Oryzias latipes: one gene and its partners. The protein of the gene in region 3 purifies or fractionates together with the protein of the main gene of each other region. This does not show direct contact. Links are inferred from orthologs where the notes say so. Each region holds a gene or a part of one and is shown on either strand. Other genes may lie near its edges. The genes, in order: cdk19, polr2b, mediator of RNA polymerase II transcription subunit 26, med9 and cdk8.

Region 1 (6,174 bases), on a different chromosome or scaffold from region 3:
AAATCTCAGGTTTTGACAATTACTGTCAATACAAAGAAGAAACCTCTGATTTTGATCTTGGGGGAGCTATGGTGTACAGGTAGAGCAATCAACCTCTGATTGTTTCCAGGTTCCGTTTCCACCCTGCCTGCCCCTTAGTCGAAGTGTTTTTGGGCATGACACTGAATTCCACATTGCTCCTGGTGGTTACAGGTTGGCGGCAGTGTAAGGCAGTGGAACTGCCATCGGTGTGTGAATTGGTGTGTGTGTGTGTGTGTGTGTGAATGGGACGGTGACTGTATTACTAAGTTAACATCTGGCTTGGAAACGTGTTCGAGTGAGACTTTTAATGAAGAATCTTTGAAACTGTATGTATTTTGCGCGTTTCGGGCTTCCACGTTCAAAACTCTCGCATTCACTCATCACTATGCAAGTTTTTAAGCCTGTTTTCAGGCTCTACGTACACAAAAACCTAGAGCCTTTGGCAACCCTTTTCTGGAAATGTTAAAACTTTACAATCACGTAACATAAACACCTAGCTGGCTCTCATTTTACCAAAAAATGTACTTTTAGTTATTTCTTTTATCTTATTTTGCTTTACTAATTGTCACTTTAAATTATCACTGACCTGAATAATTTGTTCTGTGTTTATGAAGACCATTTTGTTTTTTGTGTGTTCTACTGCTCTACACATCTCCTATTCGTAATCCCTGGAGAGTTGCTCTTGGTATTAATCACATCTGTTGTACTTCCCTTTTTTTTTCTGGAGGATTGGTGATGGGATGTGTATCGCCTTTCTGTTTGGGGTTCTTTCTTTTTCTTTTTGGTTCCAATGTGTGTGAACAGGGGGGGAAAGGAAAAAAAATGGATATATTGTTTCATATCACGTGTTCAATATTGCTGTTCTAAAACCCAAAAAAAAACAATTTTGAAAAAATAAAAACCTAGAGCCTATAGGAGTAATTGTGTGCTATAAGTATGCATGTTTGTGATGTAATGCTGAAGGGTTTACTCTGACCTGTGCCCATCTGATAGGAGTCAGCTGTCTTTCCCTGAAAAAGTTACCCCTCTGTGGCCTCATGGAATCACCTCCATACTTCTCTCTGGTCTCCTTTCCCTCACACCCTGACATTAAACTCCACTTCTGTGACATGTGTCATGTGTTTCTGTCATCTCTTAGTCTGCACCCTCAGCTCTCTTCTGTGATAAACACTGATAAATGTGACGCCTGACAGGAAAACAGATGCTCCACGTCGCTCTGTCAGCAGGCGCTCTGGACTGGACGCCACTTATCTACTGGTATTGTCTACTGTGGAGATGCACGTGTTTTCTCCACCATTACTCTTTCACTCTCAAACAAAAGCTCCTGGAACTAAGACAACAGGATTATATAACTGTAATGGTCAAAATGTTCTGCTGCCAAGTCATTACGCAGAATAGAAATCCGGTTTCCATGTCAAGATTCAGCTCACCGCTACATTAATGGGTGTGAACCCTGTAGGCAGTTAAAAGCCTGGATTCTGCTTTGACCTTCAAAAGCAGGCCGGACAGAAAGGGCGTCTGTCCATCTATCAACATGTCAATGACAAACTAAAAGCAAATAAGTGTGAATCAGACTCTTTGAGTCACTATCTCAACAAATCCTGTTGACAAACGTTCATTTAAGGCTGTCATGAGGAGGAACATCACTTGAGACCAGCAGAAGCCCAATCACACACGTTCTCCATCCAACATAAAAGCAGCTGGTCAACAATTTGTCAGTCTGATCATCCACAGTAATGATTTTTTTAATCTGAAAGAGATTTACTTTGGACGTGTGTTTCTGTATTTCAAATAAAGCAATCTCTATGAACAAAGAGTGTCTCGCTTATCTTTTTGGTATCGTGTGTTCAAAGGACATTATCCCAGAGGTCTCTTGGTTTGTTAACATGCAGTTTTGTGAAATATCCTGTCAGCATAGTTTGATGGTTTCATGCTTTCACAAAGTGGCGCCTCAAGAAACCTCGCATGTGAACCGAAGCTTTAGAATTGTACATTTATTTTGACTAAAATTACAATAAAGGAAGGAATGTATAACTTCAGATGTAGCTTCCAGTTTATCAATATTTTACCCCAATTTCTGGCTCATATTTTTTCTGAATCAAGTGATTTTATTGTTGATGATTATAAACAACTAACTAAAGCATCCATAGACGTTGTAGCTCCACAAAAAAGGGAAAACTCCAGCTACAGCACTATGGAGAAATGAAAGGTTTAAAAGCCTAAGAGGAGAATACAGGAGAGTGGAGTGAAGCTGGGGGGAAGTTTAATTATTCGTTCCTTCATCACTGTTAACCATATTATGGCTTCTTTGAGTCTGAGCTTTAAATATAGAGTAATTTCAATTACAAAGAATAACCTTGATTATTTTGTGACCATCATCTAATTCACCATTTTAAAGGAAAATCAACCATTTTTATCCAATCACTTTGAGACAGATCTGTAAGCACAACTAATTGTTGAACCTAAACTGAATTGAATTGAAGCGTGCAGATATGGAGATGCAGCTCTCAGGTTTTCTTTCAGTCTCGTTCAAGATTTTTATCGTTTCACTTGTTCCCTCGCCGTGAATGAAAGAAGTCATCTATGATTAGGTAAAAAACACGTTGGTGAGTTGGGGTCTACTTATGTAGTACTACTGGAGTTAAAGGGTTAAATAGTAAAAGGGTTTAAAATGTGGGAAAGCTGATATCAAGAGACCCAACAATCGACCACACATTAGCAGAACTTACCTGGTATTCTGACTGTAAAACCCCCGTGCCTGAGGAAGCCCCAGAGGGCCCGAGCCGAGGTTTCTTGTTGGGTGGACCCTGATCCTGACTGTGCTGCAGACCCCCACCGCCGGTGGCTCCCGCGCCTCCAGTGGTGCCATTGGTTTGGGCCGAGCTCTGCTGGGAGGGGGCCTGCTGGGCCGTCGTCTGTTGCTGGTTCTGGGTCTGAGTCTGGCCTGCCGTCTGCTGGTGCTGCTTGGTTTGTTTTTTGCAGAGACACACAAAACAACAAACTTAGTTAACACAGAGAAGACAATGAAGAACAACCTGGGAGGATTCTTTAGGGACTATTGATTTACTTGTTTGTTGAGCAACAACAATCTGACTAAACAGTAAAAATGACCTTAATGTAAGCAATATGTTTATGCTGGTTACCTGTTAGGTCATCTTGTTTACATAAAGCTTACTAAGGTCTGTATTTTAGACAGATATAATTTAGAGGTTTGGAGGTTTTGGTATGTAAAACATAAAATAAGTATAGACCAAAGCCAAAATGAAGTGACTGCAAAAAAAAAAAAAAGCTTCTAAAGAAGATACATCTGGGGATAGAAGCTAAAATCAATCAGAGGTCACCTTTTAGTATACTATGTGTCTGATCACAGACGGCCTTTGTTCGTCCTCCTTTTCAACGTCAGACCTTGAAATTCTTGGATACTTTTTCTTCAAAACACAAACTCTGTACCTACCATGCTGATCTGCTCTCAAAGGTACCAAGAAGACATTTGAGGCACAAATGGTGTATTCAAAGTATTCATTAATTGAAGTAAGAATACTTGTTTTGATGAAGTGGATCATTCAGCTTTCAGAAATATACTACAGAACCCCCCAAAAGACCAAATTATCCACTGAATGGGTATTGTTAAGGTGTGGCCTGTGAAGTCACATTATGTCAGCGTGCTATTACCTTTTCCGTTTTCTCTTCGGGCTCGTCTTCGTTCAGAAACTCTCGTTTGGGGTAGGGAATCTGACAGCCAGCAAACACACTGAAAAGAAAATCCAAACCAACATCAGGCCAGTCGGACATTTACAGCAGACACTCGTGATAAAACATGAATATTTCTCCTGCTGAGATGGAACTTGTGCAAAAGGCTCACTCTGTGGTCGGTAATGGGTCCTCAAGGAAGTAGGGGTCCTGCAGCGCCAGCTCAGATGTGATGCGCTTGTTAGGGTCCATGGTGAGGAGTTTCTGAAGCTGAAGACAAACAGCACAGTTTTCCAGCCAGCTTTAAAATAAGCCTGACAATGTTTCGACACTAGAATAGTTCCGTAAAACTGCTTCAACAGGGCAAGAAATGCTCCCATTGTGACATGATTTGCTTTAACATTGTTCTTCCCAAACAAACACTGACCAAGAAGAAAACGATTCAAAAAAAGTCATGCACTTTCTCTGACGGTCACGTTTATGAGCTTCTTCACATTTTCACAACAGATCTACCAACAAGGCAATATCGAACCTAAGTCACACTTTCATGGATTAACTCTTTGGGCAGTATTTTTCCCAATGAACCCCGTAAAGCCAGAGCTGTCCCCAACAACAACAAGTAACACATGATCTTTAAACTACCATAACTTCAACCCTTTGCACAATTAAAGCAATTCTACTGGATTTCAAAAAATGAGAAAACAGCTTTTAAAGTCTTGCATAACCGTGCAAAGCTTTTTCTCAGCTTTCAGAATCTGTTGGAATTTTGTTGTTGTGCAATCGGTCAAAGAGTTCCCGTAATACCAAGAATGTTAACACCAGAGCCACCCCTCCGGTGCTTAAAGGTTAAATTACAGTGTTTCCTACACTGGGCAAGCTAGTTTTTCTCAGGACCTGTGGTGTGTACCTGCAGTTACTTGTCTCTATTTTATCTTTTAATTTATGTTCCAGTGTTGTCTGTGTGATTTTTTTTGTTTGCTTCCCATTATCTAATCTCTAAAGTTACTATCTCAATTTTTTCACAAAACAGCTGTTCCAGTGTTTTTGATTCTGTTTCTCTTTTTTGTTTGCTTCCCATTATTGCCATTGCTACAGTTGTCTACTTGTATCTGTTTTGTCCTAGAACAGGTGTCCCATTGTTTTTGTCCCTGTGTTTGTTTGTTCTTTCTAAATCCAAAAGATCTTTTGTATAGTTTGATGTTTCGTGCTCTTTAACCAGCGCATCAAGATTGCACCAGTTGGGAAAATGAACTGAACTTGACAGAACTGAATCAGCACACTTACCAATAGGAAGACCTTGCTGTCGGGTTTCACTTTATGTTTCTCCATGTATTTGATTAAGCTGCTGTTTGTATACCTGCCAAGTGAGAACATTGTGAAGACACCTATGAAATTTTGTCATTTTAGTCTTTATGGGTTTGATGGCGAACAGATTGTTGCTCACGTTGTCCTCCTAAAATCCTTCTGAAGGGTGGGGTACTCTGGCATCTTCCTGATGTCTTCCCAGTCTTTATCTGGGGAATGAAAACAAGTCATGGGGGTCACAATTACCACAACAAAAGGGTCCGGTATTTTAAAGTTTACACCTTTGTTAATCCCTCAAGAAAGATCTATGTTTGATGTTTGCCCTTAAACACCAGATATGTCGCTGGTGACATCTGACTAACACACACTCTTTGACGTACCATAACTCTTCGACAGCTTACACGCTCAACATATTAGTAACGTCACATGTTGCATGCTGGGGCAAAGACGCTTTTATCCACAGATGTATGTTAACTTACATAAACACTTCAAAACTGTAAAGTGTTGCATATCAGCAACACTTCCATAAACGGTTGAAGAATTATGGTAGTCGTAAAGACTGTCAAGACTGGAGCCAGAGCTCCAGAGTAAAAGGGTTAATGCACATGTGAGAAAAGCTTCAAAGCAGAGTTTGTTCAAAACAACCATTAGCAGACCTGCGGGGAAACCCATAACGGTGAATATCCGGTCTAGCTGGTCGTGGTGGAATGGGTTGCTGGTCTTGATGTCCTCTTGGCGACAGTGAAAAATGGGTTCTGACGTCAGCAGTTCTGCGAAGATGCAGCCAATCGCCCAGATGTCTGTAAAACACACATGAGCATGAGTATATCTACAAATGGAGGCCACTCTTAGTTGTGTGACTCACCAATAGCTTTGGTGTAGTGCCGGGCACCCAGCAAGAGCTCAGGAGCGCGGTACCAGAAGGTCACCACCACCGGATCGAGGTCTGCCAGCGGCTTAAGGGGCGAGTTAAAGAGTCGGGCGAAACCCATGTCAGCTTTAGGGTTGGAGCAGAGAGACAGGGACAGTATCAGAAAGACATGAGAGGAATAAAGGCCAGCAGATAACGGTGACACCATTCCTGACACATACAGTTTCATGGTTGGAGTTGCAAAAAACAAAAAAAACAATACAATCTATAATTCCACCTCAGCAGCT
Region 2 (6,770 bases), on a different chromosome or scaffold from region 3:
GGACACAGCTGCAGCCTGGAACACAAACGCTTTCACACCTCAGAGGATCTGACACGAGGTGACCGCCTGCTTCAATCCTGTCTCTGCAGCTCTGGGCGAGTTCGTCCATCCCTGTGAAGATGACATCGTCTGCAAGTGTACCACCGAGGAGAACAAAGTCCCCTACTTCAACGCTCCGGTCTACCTGGAAAACAAGGAGCAGATCGGGAAAGTGGATGAGATCTTCGGGCAGCTGCGGGACTTCGTATCCTTTTGGTGCGTGAGCGGAGCGAGTCTGAAACACCGGCATGAGAGCATGCTCCTTATGAGTCCTGCAGTACTTTTCTGTCAAACTGTCTGAAAACATGAAGGCGTCTTCCTTCAAGAAGCTGCAGAAGGTAAAGGCCTCTTCCTCCTCCTCTTCCTCCTGCTGTGTGGCTGAATGCTGCTGTGTCTGTGGGACACTCACACCCCTCTCTATCAGTTTTACATAGACCCCATGAAGCTGCTCCCACTGCAGAGGTTTCTGCCCAGGCCTCCGGGGGAAAAGGGTCCGCCCCGGGGAGGGCGGGGCGGCGGGCGAGGTGGAGGAAGAGGAGGAGGTCGTGGAGGTGAGGCATGACATGACATGACTGCATGACAGTCGTGGAATCAGAAAGGAGTAACGGTCCTGCGGGTCTGTCTCAGGAGGTTTCCGGGGTGGGCGGGGCGGAGGTGGACGCGGTGGAGGAGGCTTCAGAGGAAGAGGAGGTGGTGGTGGCCGAGGATTCAGAGGTGGGTTCACCGTCAGGCGTCCTACTGTGCGCTGTTTGTGTCGTCTGAGCTGTGTCGCTGTTTCCTCGCAGGAGGACGATAAAGGAGGAGGCGCGGCCCTCCATCTGCGTGGGACAGACTCCTCACGAGGAGCAGCGGCTCTTCCTGTTTTTTTGGAAGAGCCGTGGACCTGGATCTTTTCCTTCGGAGGGTTTGTGTGACGCATCTCTGTGGTGCGTTCATGAACGGGTTTATTTCAGCCTGTGGTGGTTTAACCACGGATGGACACTTTTTTAAGGCTCTGATTAAACAATGCTTTGTAAACACGTGTGTGTGTTTTATTTCCTTTACCCGACTTTTGAAAAAGCAGCTGCGCTGTCTGGAAGACGGATGAGTGATGAGAAGCTGTCATTTCCAAAAATCCCTCTGTTTTAGGCTCAGGGATGAAGAAGGGAAAGCTCTTTGAGAGCAACGACATTTCAAATGTTCACTGAATTGCAGCTTTGAAAAATCCCACAAAGATTTTCAATCATTTACGCTTTAATGACAACCAAAAGAAAATTCTTTTTTCCTTTTTTTTTTTAGACATTTATTCCATTTTTGGGCTGTCTTTGTTTTCTTGTTTGATTTTCAAGTCATTTTATGTTAAACTATTAAAAAATTTAACTTTTTACAAGTAGTTTTGGATAATGCAGCATTTATTTCTCCGTTTACCATGACTCGTGATTTCTATCAATGTTGGACTTCCACCCCCTGCAGCTTTACACTAAACATCAGTTTTGTAAAAAGGAATTCTGTATAAATGGTTGAATCCCTTCCTTTCTGTGGTTCTTGGTCCTCCTGCAGCGTCTAGAGTGGCATTCAAATCCATCACATCACGTCCTTCACATGAGCTGCAGTTGATGGTGGAGTTCTCTCTCTTCTGATGTGTCAATTATGAAAAATACAGTTCTAGCTAACCCAGATTATCTACAAAGATTAGAATTGTTCTGTAGGTGTTGGGAGGGGGATTAAAAGCTGCAACAATAGGACCGTTTGTGATGACTAAGCTTTTCCTCATCAAAGACTCCATTCACTGATGGTACAGAAAATAGATCGTTATAAAACTCTGGTTTTACATAAAATTCCCAACAGTACTAGAAAAAATAAAATCTCATTTTTAGACAATCTTTCAATCAATAGAAGAGTTTCTGCTTTTCCCTCCACTATGTAGCAGAGGGTTGTAACACTTACAGGCTACGTCTGTTTCAGATGGATCTGGATTTATACGTTATTTGGGTTCTACCATCTTCTTTTTTACAGAAACACCTTAAAACCTCTGATAGTGAACTTAAATAATGTTAGGAAAACGGATCAGATGTAAAACCTGCTGCATCTCTGCTCATGTTTTACTAAAAGCTTCACTTTCTGGATGTTTGTCAATTTGTTCAAATTTACTGTTAATTTTAATCAAACATACTTAAAATCCTTTCAAAAAAGTCCTGTGACTTCATTATTTTCTAATCAACACAGAGGAAAGGCTTCCGGCAGGAAGTGAAGTCCACTTGGCCTCTTGTTAAACTGCAGTGATTATTTTTTTATAGTTAATTTTATGATTCATTTTAAGTATTGAAATCATGGAATTATACAATAAAGAACAGAAATCCAAAATTTAAACAGATTAAATCCATTTCAGATAAAAAGTAATAATTGATAAGAAAAAAGATGTAATGAGATGATGCTATCATATTGACAGTGTGTTTATTCATAATTATAAATAGATGCTTTGCATTAATGCATACAGAACACATGCACGTTACATTAGACCATTAAGATGCACTACCAAGCGTCATTGATTATCAACAAAAACATTAGTTATAAGTTCACACATCCTTATATTTGGGATTTACATGAACACAAAATGACCTGTAAGTCCTCTCATCTCCATATTGAGAAACAAAAGTTTCCTTCTACAATTTCTTGAATTTATGGATATTTAAACATTGTAAGTTGAACACTGATTGAAGGGAAAACCTAATGATATTAGAGTAAAATGTTAAGTATCTATAGTTAGCTTTGATGTCTGATTTATTATTGTTACATTTGTTTTACTAACTGCACTTCGCACACTGCTGTTCTTGGCCTCAACCGCAGGGGGCGCTGTCACAGCAGATGACCGCCAAACACCGGAAACCCCGCAGAAAAAGAAGAAGTGTTTCCGGGTCTCTGTGTCAGGCTGCGCGCCGCTTCTCCGTGTTTTTGTCTTCTTTTTTCTGAAGCCGTCTTTGTTTTGAGGGATTTTCGGAAGCCATCATGTACGACCAGGACGAAGGTGAGGCGCGGATTCCACGCAGCGCCGTTAGAGCTGCGCGTGAACGCTCACGCATGGCGAACGTCTCCTCCATCCATGATCATGATGTTCCATGTTGTTCAACCAAAACCTGTCTGAAGCTTCTTTGCATGCAGCAAGTTTCTGGAACCGGACTTTCTGTAGTTGAACAGACTCTTAAAACCGAGACGCACGTAGTAACCAGGGGGGAAAAACACGCGTGGAAAACGAGCAGACTAGGAAACACGCAAATAACTTTAGTCAGTCCGGCTGGGGGGAAACATTAGCACTTTGTCGCGATATTTTGAAGTATTTTATGCCAAACCAGAAATGTTTGTTCACCAATATGGTCATCATTGAATAGTTGGAGAATTGAAGAAGAAGAAGACTGTTTTCTGGGAATGGGCCCACCACCCTCCCTGGTCAGTGGGATGCTGTGGGAGGTGACTGCCGTGCAGGAGCAGCGCCGCTCCACAGCAGCAGGAGCAGCAGCTGAGTGGCTTTAACATCTGTTCAGTCTGTTTGTTAACCTGTAAACACGCTCACTGATTCTGGTTAAGTGACTGTCCGAATAATCCAAATCTACAATTCCAAAATCCAGATCGCTAGAAATTTCCCAGAAGTCTCTGCGAAAAACCAGTGTGCCTTGATGGTCACTTGATTGGTGAATTTGGACCACAATGCATTGCGTTTGAACAATTTTTCATTTGAAAAAAAAGTATTTAAAGGAATTTCTATTAACCATCATCATGATGATGATGATGGTCATCATCAAACATGTTCAGATTTACGTCATAAAATGTCATATTTGCCATAAAAGAAAAGCAGTAAACATGGCTTTAATTGGCTTTAATAACCAGGGCAATAGATAGTTTTTTAAGTAGTTAGGATGTAGAGAAGGAATATGAACATAAACCCTCACTCCCTCTGTCATGATAACACAGTCATATACAAACAAACCTTTATTTGCAGTCCAGACCGATGACGGACACCCACCAAACTAACTAGAGCGTAACCCTAAGGAACCAACAGCTCAGTGTTGATGACCAGCTGCTGTCAGTTACCTTTAATGTCTTAGTGTGGATGTGGCCTCATCATTTCTGTGTCTGTTAGATAACCAGTATGATGAAGACGATGATGAAATCACCCCAGATCTGTGGCAGGAAGCATGCTGGATCGTCATCAGGTAAGCTCACCTGTCAGGCCCACTGTGACAAAACATGAGTGGGTTTCTGCTGCCGCACACGCAGCAGTCACGCAGTCACCAGAGCGTTCTGCATCAGAAACCCAAACTGCTGTTTAGATAGAGTTCAATAAAAAACAAAGGAAAAGTTGAACCTTTTTCTGATCATCTTTTACACTTTAAGCCTCTTCAGTCATCTCTTTTAATCATCGGTTCTGTGAGTTTCTGGTGCAGGATGTGACGCAGACGGTTCTGATCCGCTGCAGCTCTCCGAGCTCTTCCTGAACTGCTGTCTGTTCTGCAGCTCGTACTTCGATGAGAAGGGTTTGGTGCGGCAGCAGCTGGACTCCTTCGATGAGTTCATCCAGATGTCCGTGCAGAGGATTGTGGAGGACGCGCCTCCCATCGACCTGCAGGCTGAAGCACAGCACACGTCAGGGGAGGTGGAGGAGCCGGTGAGTCTGCGTTGGCTGGTTTGGGCTGCAGGTCCTTCAGTTTTAGTAGGAGCTTCTGATTTTTATGCCACATCAGGGCTCCAGACTAACTTTTTTCACTAGGAGCACTGTGGCCCCTAACTGAAAATTCTAGGGGCGCATACCGTAAATCAACATGCTAACCAAATCTATTCATTTCCACTGTATTACTAATAAATACTTTAATAATAGATGCAGAAATTAAAATGTGCTGTTTCAAATTCAGTGTCACATTTTATTCTTCACTTTTGAAGATGCAACAAGAAGGTAAACTGACAGCACCATCGCTGTCATGACAGTACAAATAGTAAAGAAAACAGATGGAAATTTATCTTTGTGACACCAAATAGGTGCAGCCAAGATGCACAATAAGTGTGTTTGAGATCACCCAGGTGAACTCAACGCTGCACAGATCACCTGGTGTGAGACATATATTTTTGTTTTTGCTCCAACATCAACTGTCAATCATCACAAAAATATCGCGAGAAAGGGGTGGGAGCAAGGGGCAAACCTACCCGGACACAGCTGGAAACTAGAGACTACAAAACAATGCATTATGGGACATGTGTCCTGATGGTTTTTGTAGTGGAGTGATTAATTAAAATAATTTAAAATACCAATTCATTAAAAAGGCTACATACATCACAAAACATTAAAATAATCATAAAATATATAATAACACAGATCATACTAAGGGGGAGAAGAATATTAAAACTAAATTGAATGTTAAGGACAACTCCAACTGTTGTCCTTCAGTCTTGCTGCAGATTCGCCTTCATCTCACAGTGCCCCCCCCCCCCCCCCCCCCCCCCCCCCCCCCCCCCGCCTGGTCTCCCTAACGATCCAGGCGAGGTGCCGGTTCATCTCAAACACGTCTATCGTTGCATTTTCCCCACGTATTTTCAGTGTGTCTAAAACTAATCTTGTTTTTGCTCGAGCGTGTTTAAAGTTCAAGCCCCGTTAGCTGTCACGCATGTAGGTGTGGGACATTTATTCTCCTCAGCTGACCCGAGTCCCGCGGGACGGGAGCGGTGTGCTGCCGTAACCCGTTTGATGCACCGCCGTGACCGTAACCAAAACCTAAACCTTCCTCCGGGTCTGTGTGACCCAGAGAAAAGTTCAGCATGGACTGCATGTATTTAGAAAATCACGAGCGAATAAATACGTCAGTAACCATGAGGTGCACCGTCTCGGCTTATGATTAAAGGCAAATCCAAGTCCATGACCCCCCCCCCCCCCCCCCCCCCCCCCCCCCCCCCCCCAGAGGTCATTCTGAAGCTTTTTGGGGGGATGGAAGGGTAAAGAGAGAGAGCACAGGTGAAAGGATCACATTCAATCGCAAAAGGCGGCGAAAAGTGCAATAAACGGTTACGTTAAATGTGCTAAAACAATCTTATGGCTGCTTGAAGAATTTAACAAATCAAATAAATCCATTTATGCATTTGACCGATCAGATGGACGCCTTCACGTTGTTGACCAATCAGATGGAGCTCTTTTATGTTAGACGTTTGCCTCCCATGCAGACGAGGATCATTGAGTGTCATTTTTAAACTGTTGCAGTTAAATGGATGTTCTTGGTTGTTTTGCTGTTTGTTCAGGTATCGCAAGTTAAATCGCTATCGCTATATTGATCACTAATATCGCGAGTTTTCCTCATCGTGCAGCTCTATCAAAAACCAGCTTTGTTGTCAAGTAAACCCCGGAGCCTTCATCTGTTCCTCTCCATCACACTCAAATGCCTACCGGAGGCTTTTAGGGAGAACTGTGTTTTCTGTTGTAGCCTCGGTTCCTGCTGAAGTTTGAGCAGATCTACCTGTCCAAGCCCACCCACTGGGAGAGAGACGGAGCGCCCTCCCCCATGATGCCCAACGAGGCGCGGCTGCGAAACCTCACGTAGGTCTCTGCGAGCGTGCGCTCCCCGGACGTCGCTCTGCGCCGCCCTCACCCAGTCTGCTTGGCCCGCAGGTACTCGGCCCCCCTTTATGTGGACATCACGAAGACCATCATTAAGGAGGGGGAGGACCAGCTACAGACGCAGCACCAGAAGACCTTCATCGGGAAAATACCCATCATG
Region 3 (4,837 bases):
GGTTTTCCTCCCTGCAATCTGGTTGTTTCAGACAACCGGATAACCGCTCATTTCGAACGCTGATTTACCGCAATTTCCGCCAGTTTTGACGATGCGCATCTTGCACAGCTTGATATCGCGATAAAGATAAATTTGCGGTTTATTGTGCCGGTGTAGGTACCAAGAGTATTCGGCCTGCAATAACTGTCGGGGTCCTTCGGGGTCCTGCGACTAATGATGACGTCTCATTATGTGATTGGCTGTATGTTGCTCTGATGACGTTTAAGATGGTGATTGGTCCACAAGTTTACACGCCAACACCATTATTTGTGAGAGCAAATACAGTTCTTCTTGAGAAACATGGGCGACTTGTACATCGAAATTTCCCACTATATATCACAATGGACTGATTATAGCCTCACCCTCAATTCACAGGATATGTTGGAACAGGGAAGAGGGGAGTACTGCAAGGGATTTATTTAGAGGATCATAATCCAGGAAACTGCAGCCACTTTTGCAGCCAAATGCAATAGGTAAACTTGAGTCAGCCGCATACATTTATACTAAATGTGGTCATTAAAATAATTATGTTATTGATTACAAGATCTTTTTTATGTGCTTTACATTTTATTATTTGACAAGAAATTCTATTTTAGCGATTTTTACAAACTAGATTTATGTTTATTTTAACTGCCCTTTCTGCATATCATGTGTGGCCAGCAGTGGAGACGAGCAGAAAGTTGGATTCAAGACATTTAGCATTTGTTTTAGTGCTAATTCTTTGGTTTTTTGGTTGGTTGGTTGTTACAATAACTTGAATAATACAAAAAAAATTGAACAAAAAAAATAAGGAGTGTGTGCTGCTGTTTTTTTCTTTTCTTTTTTGTAATAAGTTTATTTATATAAATATAAACCTTGCAATCATAACTGTTAGAAACTGACATTTGGGCCAGTTAAACCAGAATACACACCATAAATAAATATTGTTTCTCATACAGTCCTTCATTTACTCATGTTGGAAAAATAAGTTTATGGCCAATGTGTCACCCTATTATACATTTGGTGCAACAAACAATTATGTCAGACACTGCTTAAAATTCAAAATGTCATTATTTATGAGGGAAAAAGAACTTTAGGTTACAAAATGAAACGTGAAATTAAAATATAGAGCCCTAGCAGATCTCAACGCTATGTAGCTATGTAGTTTGTCCAAGCGGTGTTACCGTAGTGTGATGTCATCATTAGTCGCAGAACCCTGAACAGTTATTGCAGGCTAAATACTTTTGGTACCTACACCAGCCTAGTTGAATTCCATTTTGATCTGTGATATTTTTAGAGTATGCTTTGCGGGAGCTGTGGTCTTCATGGGAGACCATGCACCCTTGGGCACTGCGTTGGTGACCCCATCCAGGGTTTCACAGCAGCTAATCAGGACACAAAACAGGGTGTGCAGTTTGGGAAAAAAACAGCTGCATAATTGCTCTTACAGAATGAGCGAACGGCAAAAGATGAACTCCAATGTAGAAAGGGAAGACTGTCTTCTGTTTGACAGGGATTCTTAGAGGGGTTCAGGTCGGAGCACAGACTGCAGAGTGGTGGATTAAGATGTCTCTTATGTGGGTCTCCATGGAGAGGCCGGATTGAAGGCAAGCCGGATCCTGCCCACGACCCTGATTTAGACAATTTGACTGAACTCACCTGGTTATCACAGGTGTCTGAGATGGATGTCAGTGATCCACACCATAATCCATGAGTTTGATTTGAAAAATTCATCTTTTTGACTCTTAAATACAAAACAATTGCATAATAATTTGGAACACACTGTATAAATGTGAGGTAATGAATCCCAAGAGAAGCATACCAATTTGTTATATCTGCATTTGGTGTCAATCTTTATTGAATGTTGTTCAACAGTGTGGATGCCAGCATTGTCTTTGAACTCATGAAACAACTGTCTGTTTTTTGCAGATTTGCAACATGGTGATTGTGTTGGAAGTAATTAACTGTCTGGAGAAATATCCTATCACCAAAGAAGCACTTGAGGTAAAGCGTGCATTCCTAAACAGATACTCCATACTGAAAGGAAAATACTGACTTTCTTCTCTGATTTTCTCACATATTTTACAGGAAACGCGACTTGGAAAACTGATCAATGATATTAGAAAGAAGACCAAGGATGAAGATCTTGCAAAGCGCGCAAAGAAACTGTTGAAAAACTGGCAAAAACTGATTGAACCTGGGCCAGTTGTGGCACCCAGTGTCACTGGGTCGACAAATGGCAGTTCTCATCTGTGCCGAACCGACCCCTCTCCTCCAGAGATTTCTGTGTTGGGGAAAGGATTTGCTGATGTTAGGATGAGAAATTATGTTCAGAACACGTATTCACCTAAAGCTGAAAAATCAAGCAAGCGCAAGGTAGAGCACAGCAGACTGCACTTAACAGAAAACCTCTCAAAGACGTCTACATATGATAATTCTGTCTCCCCACTACCCACCAATGGGATTGCTGGCAGCCCAAGAACCCAGTTTGAACAAGATGTCACAGTGTCTCCTGGTAAATGCCGAGTAGATCACCTTGATGACGACAGAGTGAACAGAACTTCAGTCAATTCTGTCAGGCCTTGTCCCAACTCCCCTGGGGTGGAAAAACTACCCAGCACTTCCTCTTTGGTTAAAGTTGCAGTAATCCAGCAACATGCCAGGCTGGAGGAAGAAGGAGGGAGCTACAATCAAGGCAAGAGTCCTCGCAGTGTCACTTCCAGTCCGCGGAGCCAGAAGCATGACTCCTTACCAAAGCGCTCCGTACCATATGGACTGAAAGGAACGCCAATCCCAAGTCCTTCTTCCAGAGACTCTCCCTTATCCTTTTCCCAGGCTTTGGCTTCTCCGGGTCAACCATCTTTTGCTGAGAAGCTGCCCCATTTATCTCATAAGCCTTTGTCACACACAACCAGTTTGTATGAACCCCAGGATGTATCTGGAACTCTGGATTCACCATCAGCCTCCCCTCTCCTCTGTCAACAGAATACAGAATCCCAGAGATCAAGATTGGAAGCGGGCTTTGTGGTGTCTGATGATACTGATAGAATGACAGCAGCCAACTCTGAGCATAAAAGGAGGAAGTACAAGTCCAGAGACTTCTCTATTAACCTGGATGGGCAGAAAGTGGAAGACACAACTAAGAGAGTACGGTTAAAAGAACGCAGACTAACGTTTGACCCAGTCACAGGTCAGATCAAACCTCTGGTGCATAAAGATCCTTCTCCAGTAGAGGTGTCCTCTACTCCTGATCCAGCAGAGTTTAGGCAGAGAACAGAAAGTTCTGTCCAGCAGTCGGCTGCCACAACAACAAGTCCTTGCCCTAACCCTTTCCTCCAGACTAACTGGAAAGAGCTGTCTAGAAACGAAATCATTCAGTCTTACTTGAACCTTCAGAGCAATTTGCTCACCTCTTCAGGGGTTCAGACCCCCAGTGCACACTTTTTTATGTCAGAATATCTCAAAAGGGAAGAACAGGAGACCAAAGAGTCCAAGAAAATGCACGTTTTGCAGACAGACAGCTCAAAGGGGGATTTACCAGGCATGAGTCGGCAGTTGACGGACAAGGACTTGGAGAGGATCCACACACAACAGTGGCCAGGAGTAAATGGTTGTTATGACACCAATGGCACCTGGTATGCTTGGACAGAGTGCATATCACTGGACCCCCATGGGGATGAAAACAAATTGAACATCCTGCCATATGTTTGCCTTGACTGAGGAGTGTGGAAAGCTTGTTTTCTTTTTCATTCCTTTTGTTTTGTCTTCACCAATGAAGCATAGTTTTAGATTTTGTTGTTCACTGTGAGTTTGGCAAAAAAAAAACAAAAAAAAAAACAGGGCTGCTTAACCCCCCTCCCCATGGCTCAACCTGTGATTACAATTTGTTATCAAATAATACAGATAAAAAAAGTCAATTTCTGAGATATCAAGGGCTGTTTCTGTCTTTTTTTTTTTTACTTTAAAGGCCACAAAGATGAAAATAGCCATGTCAGCTCTGCTGTCACCCTGATGGAAATGGTTTTCTGAGCCTGAGACGTTCCCATGTGAATTGTTGATCAGAAGTGCAGCCTTGTTTGACGGGGATCAAATCCTTCTCATTGAGCTTCTCATTTGGAAAAGAGTCCAGATCCGTCTGTAGGAAGGAAGGCTGGGGTTTGTGCCTGGAGTTCATAGAGTACAAACAGAGTGAAACATGTCCACAATTGAAAACATTTGAACATGTTTGGCAGTTGAGATATTTTGTGATGTATAAAAAGTAAAGTATATGTTCCTTTTAATATGTTCTTCTATTTATTTTTGACCAATTCAGTCATGGAAAGTTTGTCCGTTCTTCATAACTTTTTTCTTGAGCGTGTTGTCAGCCTCCTCTTTGTCATCATCTCTTTTAGATTGGCCTTTTTTTTGGATCAACATTCCAGAGTCAAACTTTATTTCTGGTTTCTTGTCTTACAGCTCATAAAGGTTTTGTTTCCTATTGGCACTCAGTTTTTCTGAACCTGAACCTCCAGTTTCCATAAAAAGAACACGTTTTCCATCCTGTTGGTGTCCAAACCAAGGAATCGGATGGTTACAGCGCTGAAAGGACGAGCAGTTGTGTTTGCATGCTGAAGCCCTTTATGTTCCCAAAGAGATGGTTTGCCTTATGATGTTGTTGGACAATATTGTTTAGTTGAACAGCCTTAGTGAATGTACAAGCATTGTGACCTCTTTTGCACTTGTACATAAAATGACAGCTTGTCAGTCATTCCACCATCTACTTGATTCAAGTTTAAATAGCAATTTATTCTCCAACAAGTTTTAAGGGAGCATTACTTCT
Region 4 (5,123 bases), on a different chromosome or scaffold from region 3:
TGTTCTTCCAGGTGATGTTTTCATCTTAGTGTTCAGCCTGGACAACAGAGATTCCTTTCAAGAGGTGCAGCGCCTGAAGCGCCAAATCCACGAGACCAAGTCATGCCTGCGAAACAAAACTAAGGAGAACGTGGACGTCCCGCTGGTCATCTGCGGCAACAAGTGCGACAGAGACTTTTACCGGGAGGTGCAGGACGAGGAGATTGAGCAGCTGGTTGGTGGAGATGAACAGTGCGCATACTTTGAAATCTCAGCGAAGAAGAACACCAACGTCGACCAGATGTTTCAGACTCTCTTTACCATGGCCAAGCTGCCAAACGAAATGAGTCCTGATCGGCACTGCAAAGTTTCCCTGCAGTACTGCGACGTTCTCCACAGAAAGTCTTTCAGAAGCAAGAAGTGCAAAGATGGGAACGCATATGGGATTGTGGCACCGTTCGCACGAAGACCAAGCGTGCACAGTGACTTGATGTACATAAAGGAGAAAGCCATCGGCGGCGGCCACGCCAAAGAAAAGGGCTGCGTAATTTGCTGACCATTTCTACGAGCGCAAAAAACTTTGTCCCCATGTGACTATGCGCAGCGCGTCTGCGACAAACTTTAGGCACTCTTGTCCAATATGAGCCAAGACATGTAGTGAAATCGATGCTCTGAAAATGCTGTAAATCTGTTTCTACATTTTGCTTTCTATGCGCAGCACTAGAAGGTGAAAACCAAGTTTACATGTTGCCTTTTTTTCAAACTTGAATGTTTGCTGCAGAATGAACAAATGAACTCCATGTGTATATTTATTATGTCCTTGTCCACTTTTGCATAAAGAGAAAATAAAAAATAAAAAACTTGATACTTTCATAGTCTGTTCTCAGTCCCACTCTCCAATTTCTCGCATAAAACAAACACTTTAAGAATTATATATACGTTTTCATTCTGCTGTTCGAATGAAAATACATGTTTATAACACATCATTTATTGAGACATTCTGAAATTAAATGGACTTATATATAAAAAGAGCTAACAGCCTGAATAATTATTCATTAGGACTCCATTGTTTGCACAAATGATAACCATGGCACAATAACAGAGAAGGAAAACAATTAGACTAGGAGGCAGTGCAGCACATATAATTAGAGGCTATTTAGTAGATATCAACAGATGTAATATTTGGCCCATTAGAGACAATATCATTTATGATTAAAATCAAACTTTGTTTAGAGAAAAATGCTGATTCACATTAAATTAGATTTACTTTGCATGTTGTGAAAAGGAACTACATAAAGTTATGTGAAAGTGTGTGCCGTGGCAAATGCTTTCCTTTATTTAAAAACCTTTTAGATTCAGACTAAATGGTCTGCTCAATAAAGCATCAAAGCCCTTATACATTTATTATTAATAATAATAATAATAATAATAATAATGAAAACAAGTAAAACACTATAGCACGATTTAATTTATTAAAAATAGAGATTTACAACTTGAAATAATAACAGATACTTCAGAAACAGAGCAGATCATTCACACTGATGCAAACAAAAAAGAAAAACAAAAGTCCCATTTTTCATTTCAGGTTTTTTTTTAAATGGTAAACCGTAGAAATAAACGTCTTTGCTCAAGTCTCCAGTTTGTAGTCTGTTGTCTCACGACGCCTTAGGCACATCAAACATGCACAGTCCCTTGTACTTCTGCAGCAGCTGGTTCTTGGTGCGGACCTGCTCCCGCAGCGTGGCCAGCTGCTGCTGCTGCTCCGGCGGACTGCAGTCTATCCCAGACATGTTAGAGATCTGCTCCCGGGTTTCTTGGATCTTTGTTTTTAGTTTTGTCAGCTCCTGGTTGACATCCGGGCTGTCCTTATCCATGCTAAGCAGAAACATAAATAAATAAATAAATACATAAATAACAGACTTCTATTAAAGGCAAAACTGCACCCATGATGGGAAGCGTTCACGTCACTTCTCATATAGCAAACCGTAAATACCCCCAACGAGAGTTTACCGTGAACCATTTAGTAAATACCAACATATACGTAAACCCAGCACACAGGAAACAGCTTACCATTTGATAATGTCGTGAACTAAGGGCAGCAAAGAGCAGTCTTCGGTCTCCTTCACGAGCTTAGCCTGAGCTACCGCCATTGCTACTCCTTCTGCAACTGGCGCAGGCTGATGACGTCACAGGTTACTCCGAGAATCTCAACTGAAATCACAACTTTAAAAAAGTTCAATTGATGTTGAACAACAACAACAACAACAATGATTATAGATGAATGAGTGAATGATTGATTGAATGAATAAATGAATGAATGAATGAATGAATGAATACTCTAGTTATCAAAAGTATGAAAAAAATGATTACCTTGAGATGGTAAGTCATATAAGTCATGGTATGATTCCCAAACTATTAAAAAGTCTTGACACAAAACAAGAAATAACAAAGAAAAATTTGCTGTAATAAATTTCAAACACAAGAAAAAAGATCTAAAAGATTTGGGACTGATTTCTTTCTGATAAAGCCCTTGCAATTCTCGTGGCATGTCATCATTTTGCTCAGAATAGGTCCCAGACCTATTCCAAGGTTGCTCGGGCATCAAGTCCGGGTGCCTCCTGTACGCCTCTCTGGGGAGGTGTTGCGGGCATGTCCCACTATGCGGAGGCCCCGGGGAAGACCCAGGACACGCTGGAGAAACTACGTCTCTCGGCTGGCCTGGGAACACCTTGGGGTCCCTCCCAGAAGAGCTGGAGGAAGTAGCAGGGGCGAGGGAAGTCTGGGCATCTTTGCTTAGACTGCCCCCGTGACCCAGTCCCGGTAAAGCAGAGTAAGATGGATGGATGGATGGATGGAGGTCACAGACCATTTGTCAATGCACATAATAAACACATGACCTAGGACTTGGAATGACCTTGGCTACACGTCTTGCTACTTGGTAACCTGAAGTACTGACATCGAAAGTCAACACAAGACATGCTTGAGAACTGAAAAATGGGGAGCTGTGTAAACACTAGAGCTCATAGCAAGCACAAATATAGTCTCACGGTGCGTCACGCAATTTGTCTGTTTGGAAGATAAATGAAGTGTTTCATTCAGGTCGTGCATCTCTGTCTGGAAACCCTTTTTCCTTTTCTGTTTACACAGTGCGTCCTTGTTGATTGGGGATACAATATTTAGTATGTAGAAAATAAAACAAAATAATGAAAAGCTTACTTCCTGGTTATTTTCTAAAGCCCTGTTTGGCAATACATTAGGCAACACGGAGAATTAAAATGGCTAATTTGCTCAATTCTTTGTTAGTACAAGTGACTACACGATTATGCATGTGTAGCAATGACGATTCTCCTGTTTGATGTTGAATTATGTGTTTTATTTTTAAATGTATTCTTTTTAGCCCAAATAACTCATGTTTACATCCATTTCACATGAAATCAAGTTTGACCTCTTGATGCAGCGAACATCCCATGAGTTCATTACTCACACCTGGTGAACACAGAAAGGGAAAAACTCAGTCTCCCCTGGAGAAGATAGAATGCCAACGTGACACAGGCAGTGAGCATTAAATTAAGTGTGAGGCTTTTACCCAGAGGTGTGACAAAGAATGGATATCTAAATGAGTGGCGCCACTGACTGTAAAAGTAAGGATTTCCATTTCGACTTGATTGGGAGGTTTTGCACAAACTAAACAGAATATATTAGTAACCTCAAATTGACGTTTTCAGAGCATTTTACAATGTAAACTATCACAGTGTAAACTATCAAATCTTGGATCATTTTGACGGATCTGGTCATTGCATCACACATATCAAACCAATTTGAAAAGAGAATATCGCTGTTTTTATATGCTGATGAGCTGAACCTCACTTTTGAGGCAGCGAAGGAGCTTGCATAATTATTTTTAGATTTAGTAATAATTTAAATCCAGTTTTGAACATTAGCCAGGATTTGCAGAAATCACTTTTAGAGCGACATACAGTAAATGCCGTTGCAGTAGCTGGGATTGTCTCCCTTGCAGTCAAATATGACTTTTAAAACTAAAATTGCAGCAAGGATTTAAATAAAAAAAATAGTTTTTTTTCTTCAAAATCCTGTTGAAATGTTTTGTTTTTGTTTAATTAGTTGCAGATATATTGAAATAGGTGTGTTTTTCTTCTTTTTACATTGCAAAATATGTGAAAAGTTGAATACATTTGGCAACATATAAAAGGATAGTTTCACTTTACACTTTTTTAGATTTTCCTTAATTTAAAAAAATAAAATATAACCTAATAATGAAAACACATCAGATTTTGAGGGATAATTCTTTGTTGAATTGTGGATCATTTTACAATTTTTATTAATAAAAACAACGCTTTGACCATTGCTGGTTCAAAATTTAGCCCACAGAATTTCCCTTTTATGGACAAAGATGAACTACTTGCCTTTTCCTGGAAAACTTCTTCCATAAACTCAGTAGAAAATGCAACGACTGCCAAGAGAGTTCTAGTGCGACTCTTTGGCTGGGTCATATCCGAACACTTCCTTTTGAACTTCTCCATAACACCCCCCAAATGGTTAGGTTTACCCCGCCCGCTCTCTGCAATGACGTAAAGAAGACAGCTGACAGTTTCCAACAGATGGGTCACATCCTAGCATCCTTGGTGGAAAGCTGGTGGGATGCAGATGCCCTGTCTGCTGATCTGTTGGCTAATCATAGCACACTTATATCGGTCTGACACTATTTTTTTCCAAACAAGCTGGCTGTATTTCCAAACATTAGGCTTGAAAAAAAGATACCACTTTAACTTAATCTTGCAAAACTAATTTATATCAGACAAAATACATTTCCCCTGAATGTGAATCTCCATTTTTTTTTTAGTTTGTTTGTGAAGTTTTCAGAAACATTATTTGTCTATCTTATAGAAAAGTTAGAAATTGTACATTTTTTACTTCATTTTCAATCATTGTTGCCTTATATTCTCTGTTAGTTTAAATGTTTGAAGCCAGCAGATAATGATTTAAAAATCTTAAAGGATTCTTTCCAAAACAGTCATTTTCTGTTGCTGACCTGCAAAACTAATTTGAAACAGCGTTTTGAATCCTCTTTGTGTCTTTAATCCATTAAATCACTTATAACTTAAAACATTTCTGTCTTTCTGTTT
Region 5 (6,831 bases), on a different chromosome or scaffold from region 3:
TACCGATCTTTACTCTGCCCCTCTCAGGCCCTTCTCCCATCACTAAAATATTAGCAGGTTTCTAAATAGGGCAATAAAAAAAACAATAAGTTACAGTAAAATTTGAACAAGATAAGCAACAGCAACTGTCTCTTTTTTGTTGTTGTTTAGTCCAATTTGTGAACTTGACTTTCACTGTAAAAGTAAATGCATTAAACAAAAACTATTTGTTGCTGCCCTCTAGTGGACAAAATCAAAACTTCATAAGCTGTATTAGCTTTTTTTGTAAATTAAGCTCAGGTGCTATATTTTCTGAGAAAAACAAAAGGAGAAATATTATATGAAAAGAAGCCTATATCAGTTAAAGAAGGTCAGCACTATTTAGCATTTTAAAGGATAAGTGGTAATTTGCACTAAACCCACGCTGTTTTTACATTTAATCCATTTTTTTTTCTTTACTTTGGTTTTTTTCTTTCTATTTTAGCTAAAAAACCTTCACCCTCCTAAACCCCAATCCTCTTACAAGGTCTCTGTGTAGGACCCAGTTGGCATGGAGGTAATGGATGCCATCCAGAATCTGGTAGAGCAGAGACTTCACCATTCCTCTGGGAAGCTGAAGCGGCTTCTTGTTGGCCTTGGATGCTCTGTGAAACTTTATAATGTGCTACGGGAAGACAAGAAAACAGCAGCTGTACCATGAATGAGCACATTTACCAAAATGGACTCTTTTCTACAGATCCACACACTGACATGTGTGTTCTACAGGCAATATGGTTTAAGCATGTGTTTCCACTTCTGTGGAGGGGGAATGCAAGTGTTGCAGCTCTGCGGCAGTAAAAGGTATTTCACTTACATTCTCTGCCAGTCGTAACTGCTTACTTAAATGGAAAAGGGTTTAACTACCAAAAAGCAAAGTAATTCTTCTCATGACACCAACAGACTGGAGTGTTGTTGTTTTTTTCTTTCTGAAGTGTGAAGCATCAAAGGGGCGCATTCCCGCGTGTAGAGAAAAATCTTCAAAGTACTGACGTGCAGTGTAATTTATGTAACATATCGTTGAGCATAGGTGGGGATTTGTTACTTGTGAAAAAAGTTAAAGTAGAAAAACATCGTATTGGCTCTCCCCTCGCACAGCAGTAGTGTGATTGATGAGTAGTGCAGTTCCAGTGTGTGTTTCCATTTTACCCAGAGATCATGCTCCGCATAGTCAAAGAGCAGCCATACTTTACGGTCCGCGTGTGACAGGAAAACCTTCTGCAGGGAGATGACATTGGGGTGCTTCAGCTCCCGCAGCAGCTGCAACATAAAACCCTTCAGCTCCATGGCATAAATCAGGAACGACAAAAACACACAGACCAGAAACATTTCCGAAAATAAAACGAAAATCAGGTATTACCTGCACGATCTACCAAAAGCAGATAAACCTTACAATTAATGAATGCCTATAAAGTGTTTGAGTTAGCCTGTAAGTTCAAAACATTTTGAACGCGCCACAAACATACATAAAATATTCCAAACACCTTCCAGCTTTTGTTTACCTGACGACCAAGAAATATTCTGATAGATTTGACAGATGGGAGCCTGTTTATGGAGTAAAGTCAGAGTCAGCATGGCTGTGATAAACTGCAGGCAGGAGCTGTGCGTTTGTTAATCCCAGCACTCTCTGGTTGCAATTTTAGACAATAAAACTACCAGGCAGAAAGTATTGCATGTTTGAGGTGATCTTCAGCAATTACTATGGCCTCAGAAAAAAAATGTAGTTGCCAAACATTCCCTGAGCTTGGTGCTTCTAGAACAGTTCTTTCGGTACTTGAACAAGCCTCTGACCTGCAAAGACGATAAATAAATAATCTGGCAACAACCAAAGTGAGAGAATGCCAACCCAGACTTTCGATTTTTGAACACAAATATGATTTTCAGTGCTGGTAAGCAGCGAGTAAATGATCTTTAAGGGGTTTTGTTCAACTTAAATTAATAATTTCCTTTTTCATGTCTGACTATTCCACCAGTATCCAGCATGTACAGGAAGAATGATGGGTAACTAGCTGCTAAATGTAATGTTAAAAGTCACAAATGGCTTTTTGAGATGGGGTGGAGCGAGCTAAACAAGCATTTTATGCAAAGCCTGCTTCATTTTCTTTGTCCTTGTTGAAAACAGCTAATCTTTATTTAAATCACAAGAAAAAAAAACATTTTGGTGTTCTATCCCTTTAAGTTTAGACGTAAAAGGATTCAAGGGACAGAAAGCTGCTAATATGGTCAGATGTCACACTAAGGACATATTGTAGTGCATTTTGAAACATTTTAATCCAATAAACACAAATGTCCTTTCAATGAAATATCTTAATTTGTCTTATTTAAAGTTTAGGATGATTATGAACTTATTTTACAAATGAATAAATGCAATAAACCAATTTTGGTTTCATTTAATGAGTGGTTAAAACAAAAATATTCTAAATGAAAAGAATGGCATAAATGTATTAACCAGTGGGAAAAAGCCCTTACTGCAATCTCTCTGCAGGCTGACATGGAGATGCCAGTGCCTTCTATCTGCTTGAGGGCGTAGTCTTTATCATCCTTCCTAAAAACAGAAAAATCCAGCACATCAACACCAGGCCAGACAGCAGGCCCCCAGAAAGCTCTATGCACAGAAAACAAAAATAAAGGACGGGAGGGGGGCACTTGGCAGCTGGTGTGGGGAGCTGGTGAAGAGGCTGAGCTGCATTACCTCCAGATTTGTGTAATCAAGCTCACCTCTGAGGCTCTAAACAATAAAGGGGGAGAGGAAACAGGCGGTTTCTGGCAGCTGGGAGGGACAAACAGAGCTCTGGGACTGGCTCACTCTTGAATATCGTTCCTCCTCTTGGCCTAAATTATCTTATAAATCCACACTTTGTAGTTGGAAAGATTCTGCAGCCCACGGTGTCTCATAAACAACAGTAACACAAACATCTCAAAGCTTCTTTCTATGGTTCTGCTGTCCAGATTTTCTCCTTTAGGGTAATGCGCCTTGTGTGGGCCAGGAAGTTGCTGCTTTAACCCAGGTTAGGGCCAGATAAAGCTAGGGACCACATCGGAAAGTTGCACTTTAAAAGCTCAAGTGTTGCTTTAACATTAACAACATAAATAACAAATCCCAGTGTCACTACTAGAAAAAATATGTCCCCTAAAAAATAATTATTATTGAAGCTTAATTTCCTGTCTAAATATTAGTTTAAAAAACTGATCTCAGACACATCTATACTGCCAATAAACCTTTATTTCCACTGGAAAATCATAATCAAATTCATAATTAAATGTGTGTGGATTATGATAAACAAGACCTGAGAACCACAATAAGTACAATATCAATTTAATTAGATCTAACCTTAACTAATACAATTTAATGATGCTCACACAGAACCAACCACAAAGCTGCATGCAATGGTTGCAAATATATTCCTGCTAAATTAGCCTCCCATCCATGAGAGAAAATGTCACTCCTCATTTAAGCTAGTAGTGCTGCTACACAAAGCTTCCTCAGCATCCTAGTGTGGGCTTTTTAACACTCTGCTATTGCTGTTTTTGTCTGCAGCACGCTTCCTCCACCGCGAAAGGGGGCAAACTAAAGTGGTTTAAATGGAGCGGGAGGGGGCTGGCGCAGGGTTCAGCGGCTGGAGGCCTTGTTGGTCATCAACTCACCCATCTTTTCTCTTCGCCTTGTACACATGACCGTAGGTGCCTCTTCCCACTTTGCATCCTTCGTACTCAAACAGGTCCTCGACGCGCTCTCGTTCACCGGTCAGCTTCAGTTTAAAGTCATAGTCCATTTTTCACCACTTCAGAGGCTGAATGTCTGCGTTTCTTCCTTTCTTTTTAAAGCGTCGCTAGGGAGGCAACTAGGCTCCTTGACTCAACGAGCTCGGTTTTTGGTTATTTCAGCTAGTTGCCTTCCCAGCGGGTCCCTTTCTTTCTTCAGCTCAGCTTCCACATCGAGGTTTGGGCTCGAAAATAACCTTCCGATGGGTAAGCGCGGAGATTGGCAATTATCCGTGCTGAAAAAGGCCCGATTTTACAATTTCCTTTCTGTTGTTTCTGCGTTTCTCTCAGCCGGTATCTTCTCCAAAGAGACGCAATTCAGTCTGTAGCCACGGCGTAATCGTGCCAGCCATTGTCGCAAAGTGTCGTAAAGACAGCCCCTGCAGCAGAGAAAGGAGAATGGCAGAGATACACAACCACGTGGATATTCGCACTTAAATAAATAAATAAATAAATCAGTACGTGGGTGAACAACAAACAAATAAAGCCGAGGAAGGTTTTTCAGATATTCTTTCTTTTATTATGCAGTCACTTGCCAGTGTTTAGTTTTTACAGTTCAACAAATAGTAATCTTTAAAAGTAATTATTGATAAATCCTAAAAACAAACATAAAAGAAAACAAGTATTTAAATACATAAAACCTCTATAAGAGAAAAAACGTGAAATGGTACATAAATAAGGCTATTTACATACACACCGAAATGCCATGAGAAGTCACAATTTTCTATTTAAACAAACAAGCAAAAAAAAGAATACAATACCTAGAATTATCCTCGTTAATCTAATGTCTCCCTGTATGCATACACATTTTTTGATTGACTGGAGTACAATTTCTAACAGTAGCAACAACAAAAAAAAATATATTTGAAAGTTGTCTGTCTTTTAATATATTTTTATATATAATATATAATTATATAATATATATATATAATATTTTTACTATATTATAATGTATGTTTTGTAATGCATACGCCATCCCCGTTTTTTTCAACATAATTGTTCTATTTAATCTCAATTTTTGTTGTATTTTGCATATTAATTCTAAAAATAAAAATAAAAAGACAGCATTTAGTTTGCTGCTGACGAAGGATGTCAGTTGGTGCATACAGTAGACTAAAAGAAAAAAAAACATGTTTAATCTTTTAATCAATGTTAGAAGCAAATTTACCAGTCAATAATATCACAAGGAACTTAAAAAAAGATTACAAACAAACAAAGAAATAAACAAAAAGCTGTGTTTGTAGGAACTAAGGGTTAAGGAATTTTGTTTCCGGCGAGCAGAGTCATGTAGCACCGCTGGTCCCATCTTGGTCGGAGAGAAAGGGGAAAGCGGAGAGAACCTTCCATTACAGCTGCTTTGTCAGGTACTTCTCTAAAGCAAATGTTACTGACACTACTTCCTAATGTGGTTTCCATTTATCTATAAAGATAGATCATATGTGCAATATCCGGCGAACTTGTTGTAACAGCATATGTGGTGCGTTATGAGGTTTTGCCTCTCAGCTAAACGGCTGTCGACTTCAGTGCTGCTACTACTAGCTGACGTTATATCACTAGCATGCTAGTTAGCAGTTGACGCGTTGCTTGTTTAAATCAACATTGTAGCGTCTTGAAGTAAATATAGAACAAACAGCCTCGTTAAAGTGTTGTCGTACGTGTATTCCCAGTATAATATCTTAATCGTTTTATTGTTTAGTGCTGTTCACGACTTTGTGTTTCCTTCCTTGTCCTGCGTTTACATGGAGTAGATCTCCGTTTAATAGGTTTCATTTTCCGCCTCTGTCGCACGGTGATTGGTTACTTGACCTGCCACTAAAACCAAACAGGGGCGGTGATTGGTTAAGAGTCAGCTGAACAACATGATTTGGACATGGCCTTTTGGGGATACTATTCATGGTTATTATTTATGTATACTCGCTCACAGGCATTTGATCAGTGATTTATGCAAATTATAGCTGGGCCTTTACAGCAGAACATATATGACTATACCTTTTTTCCACAAATGTTAATACTACTGTGCTGTCCATATTGCTTAGTCCTATACACAAATGATTTTGCTATTAGTGTTGAACCTTGAATACTCTTGTAAATTAAGTAGAAATTATAACAAGTATTAGAGAGGCAAGTTTATTTTATGCACAAAAAAGACCTTTTAGAAAAGCATTGACAAGAATCACAGTTAGGATAGTATGGCCACAAAACAGTAAAATTATAAAGTATAATTAAAATTTGTTTAGACAAGAATAAAACAGAAGAATATAGACTGATGGTCACGAACTAATGTTGTCTGATTGGAAGCATGTCTAACTTCATTAGAATAAATGTTCCACATTTTTGTGAACTGAAGTGAAATGTTGCTTCACCGTGTCCATTTCTCTGACACCCTTCCACATGGGCCTTCCAGCACTCTTCTTTGTTATGGACCCTCCCAGTGGGGGAGATGAACGGCAGAGGCAGGCAGAGCGTCTTCGACGGGAGGAAGCATATTATCACTTCATAAATGAATTGAGTGAAGACGAGTACCGCCTCATGAGAGATGGTAACCTGCTGGGCACCCCTGGTGAGGATTGGCATACACATTACATGGACTCTGGGTTGTCAGTTGAGTTGCATGCTGTGATCTTTCAATGTAATTTTTATGACAGTGTGACATAGATTTAATTAAACTCTTTATTTAATTTTTTCCACTTATTTTTAGCAACACATTCTTTTTAACACCTGCTTTTAAAAAGCTTTTTATGCTCAAAAGTCATTGGTAAATTTTCTTTGAATTACAATGTTTAATGGAAATGTTTGCAAATAAACTGAATTTGTTTTATGACTGAGATGCAGATATTTTAGTACGGATACAATTTTACAGTTAAATGGCTTAACTTTGTTGGATTTGCGACTTTTATGTTTTTCATAAATTCTCAAAACCACATGTGCTTTTAAGACAAGATTGAGTTATTATGGCATTTGGTCCAGTCCTAATTGTGAGTATCTAGGTTTTTACAATAAATAATACTGTTCATAAAGTTTCATAACATTTTTGTAGAACTACTACAAAGTTAC

Evidence for each region.
Region 1: the proteins of mediator of RNA polymerase II transcription subunit 26 (region 3) and cdk19 purify together in Homo sapiens (affinity purification with mass spectrometry; 4 studies listed by BioGRID and IntAct, with this or other methods). This does not show direct contact. The link is inferred for Oryzias latipes from reciprocal best matches to the Homo sapiens genes MED26 and CDK19.
Region 2: the proteins of mediator of RNA polymerase II transcription subunit 26 (region 3) and polr2b purify together in Homo sapiens (affinity purification with mass spectrometry; 3 studies listed by BioGRID and IntAct, with this or other methods). This does not show direct contact. The link is inferred for Oryzias latipes from reciprocal best matches to the Homo sapiens genes MED26 and POLR2B.
Region 4: the proteins of mediator of RNA polymerase II transcription subunit 26 (region 3) and med9 purify together in Homo sapiens (affinity purification with mass spectrometry; 6 studies listed by BioGRID and IntAct, with this or other methods). This does not show direct contact. The link is inferred for Oryzias latipes from reciprocal best matches to the Homo sapiens genes MED26 and MED9.
Region 5: the proteins of mediator of RNA polymerase II transcription subunit 26 (region 3) and cdk8 purify together in Homo sapiens (affinity purification with mass spectrometry; 5 studies listed by BioGRID and IntAct, with this or other methods). This does not show direct contact. The link is inferred for Oryzias latipes from reciprocal best matches to the Homo sapiens genes MED26 and CDK8.

What each region holds. Positions count from the first base shown.
Region 1 is NC_019882.2:10,376,032-10,382,205, reverse strand, and holds part of cdk19 (cyclin-dependent kinase 19), read right to left. Parts: intron 6,014-6,174; coding exon 5,882-6,013; intron 5,817-5,881; coding exon 5,673-5,816; intron 5,226-5,672; coding exon 5,156-5,225; intron 5,069-5,155; coding exon 4,996-5,068; intron 3,982-4,995; coding exon 3,884-3,981; intron 3,773-3,883; coding exon 3,694-3,772; intron 2,985-3,693; coding exon 2,751-2,984; intron 1-2,750.
Region 2 is NC_019868.2:3,850,881-3,857,650, reverse strand, and holds the start of polr2b (DNA-directed RNA polymerase II subunit RPB2), read left to right. Parts: upstream 1-2,908; 5' UTR 2,909-3,024; coding exon 3,025-3,043; intron 3,044-4,153; coding exon 4,154-4,226; intron 4,227-4,527; coding exon 4,528-4,678; intron 4,679-6,476; coding exon 6,477-6,589; intron 6,590-6,661; coding exon 6,662-6,770. Other genes in the region: gar1 (H/ACA ribonucleoprotein complex subunit 1), read left to right, coding at 90-244, 318-377, 464-590, 667-753, 825-835. UniProt on the Homo sapiens protein: Catalytic core component of RNA polymerase II (Pol II), a DNA-dependent RNA polymerase which synthesizes mRNA precursors and many functional non-coding RNAs using the four ribonucleoside triphosphates as substrates.
Region 3 is NC_019875.2:6,559,395-6,564,231, forward strand, and holds part of mediator of RNA polymerase II transcription subunit 26, read left to right. Parts: intron 1-1,947; coding exon 1,948-2,022; intron 2,023-2,106; coding exon 2,107-3,738; 3' UTR 3,739-4,837. UniProt on the Homo sapiens protein: Component of the Mediator complex, a coactivator involved in the regulated transcription of nearly all RNA polymerase II-dependent genes.
Region 4 is NC_019866.2:10,873,412-10,878,534, reverse strand, and holds med9 (mediator of RNA polymerase II transcription subunit 9), read right to left. Parts: upstream 2,182-5,123; 5' UTR 2,130-2,181; coding exon 2,050-2,129; intron 1,855-2,049; coding exon 1,635-1,854; 3' UTR 1,430-1,634; downstream 1-1,429. Other genes in the region: rasd1 (dexamethasone-induced Ras-related protein 1), read left to right, coding at 12-535.
Region 5 is NC_019878.2:17,540,860-17,547,690, forward strand, and holds the start of cdk8 (cyclin-dependent kinase 8), read right to left. Parts: upstream 4,183-6,831; 5' UTR 3,789-4,182; coding exon 3,661-3,788; intron 2,561-3,660; coding exon 2,485-2,560; intron 1,276-2,484; coding exon 1,165-1,275; intron 644-1,164; coding exon 503-643; intron 62-502; coding exon 4-61; intron 1-3. Other genes in the region: E3 ubiquitin-protein ligase RNF6, read left to right, coding at 6,196-6,337.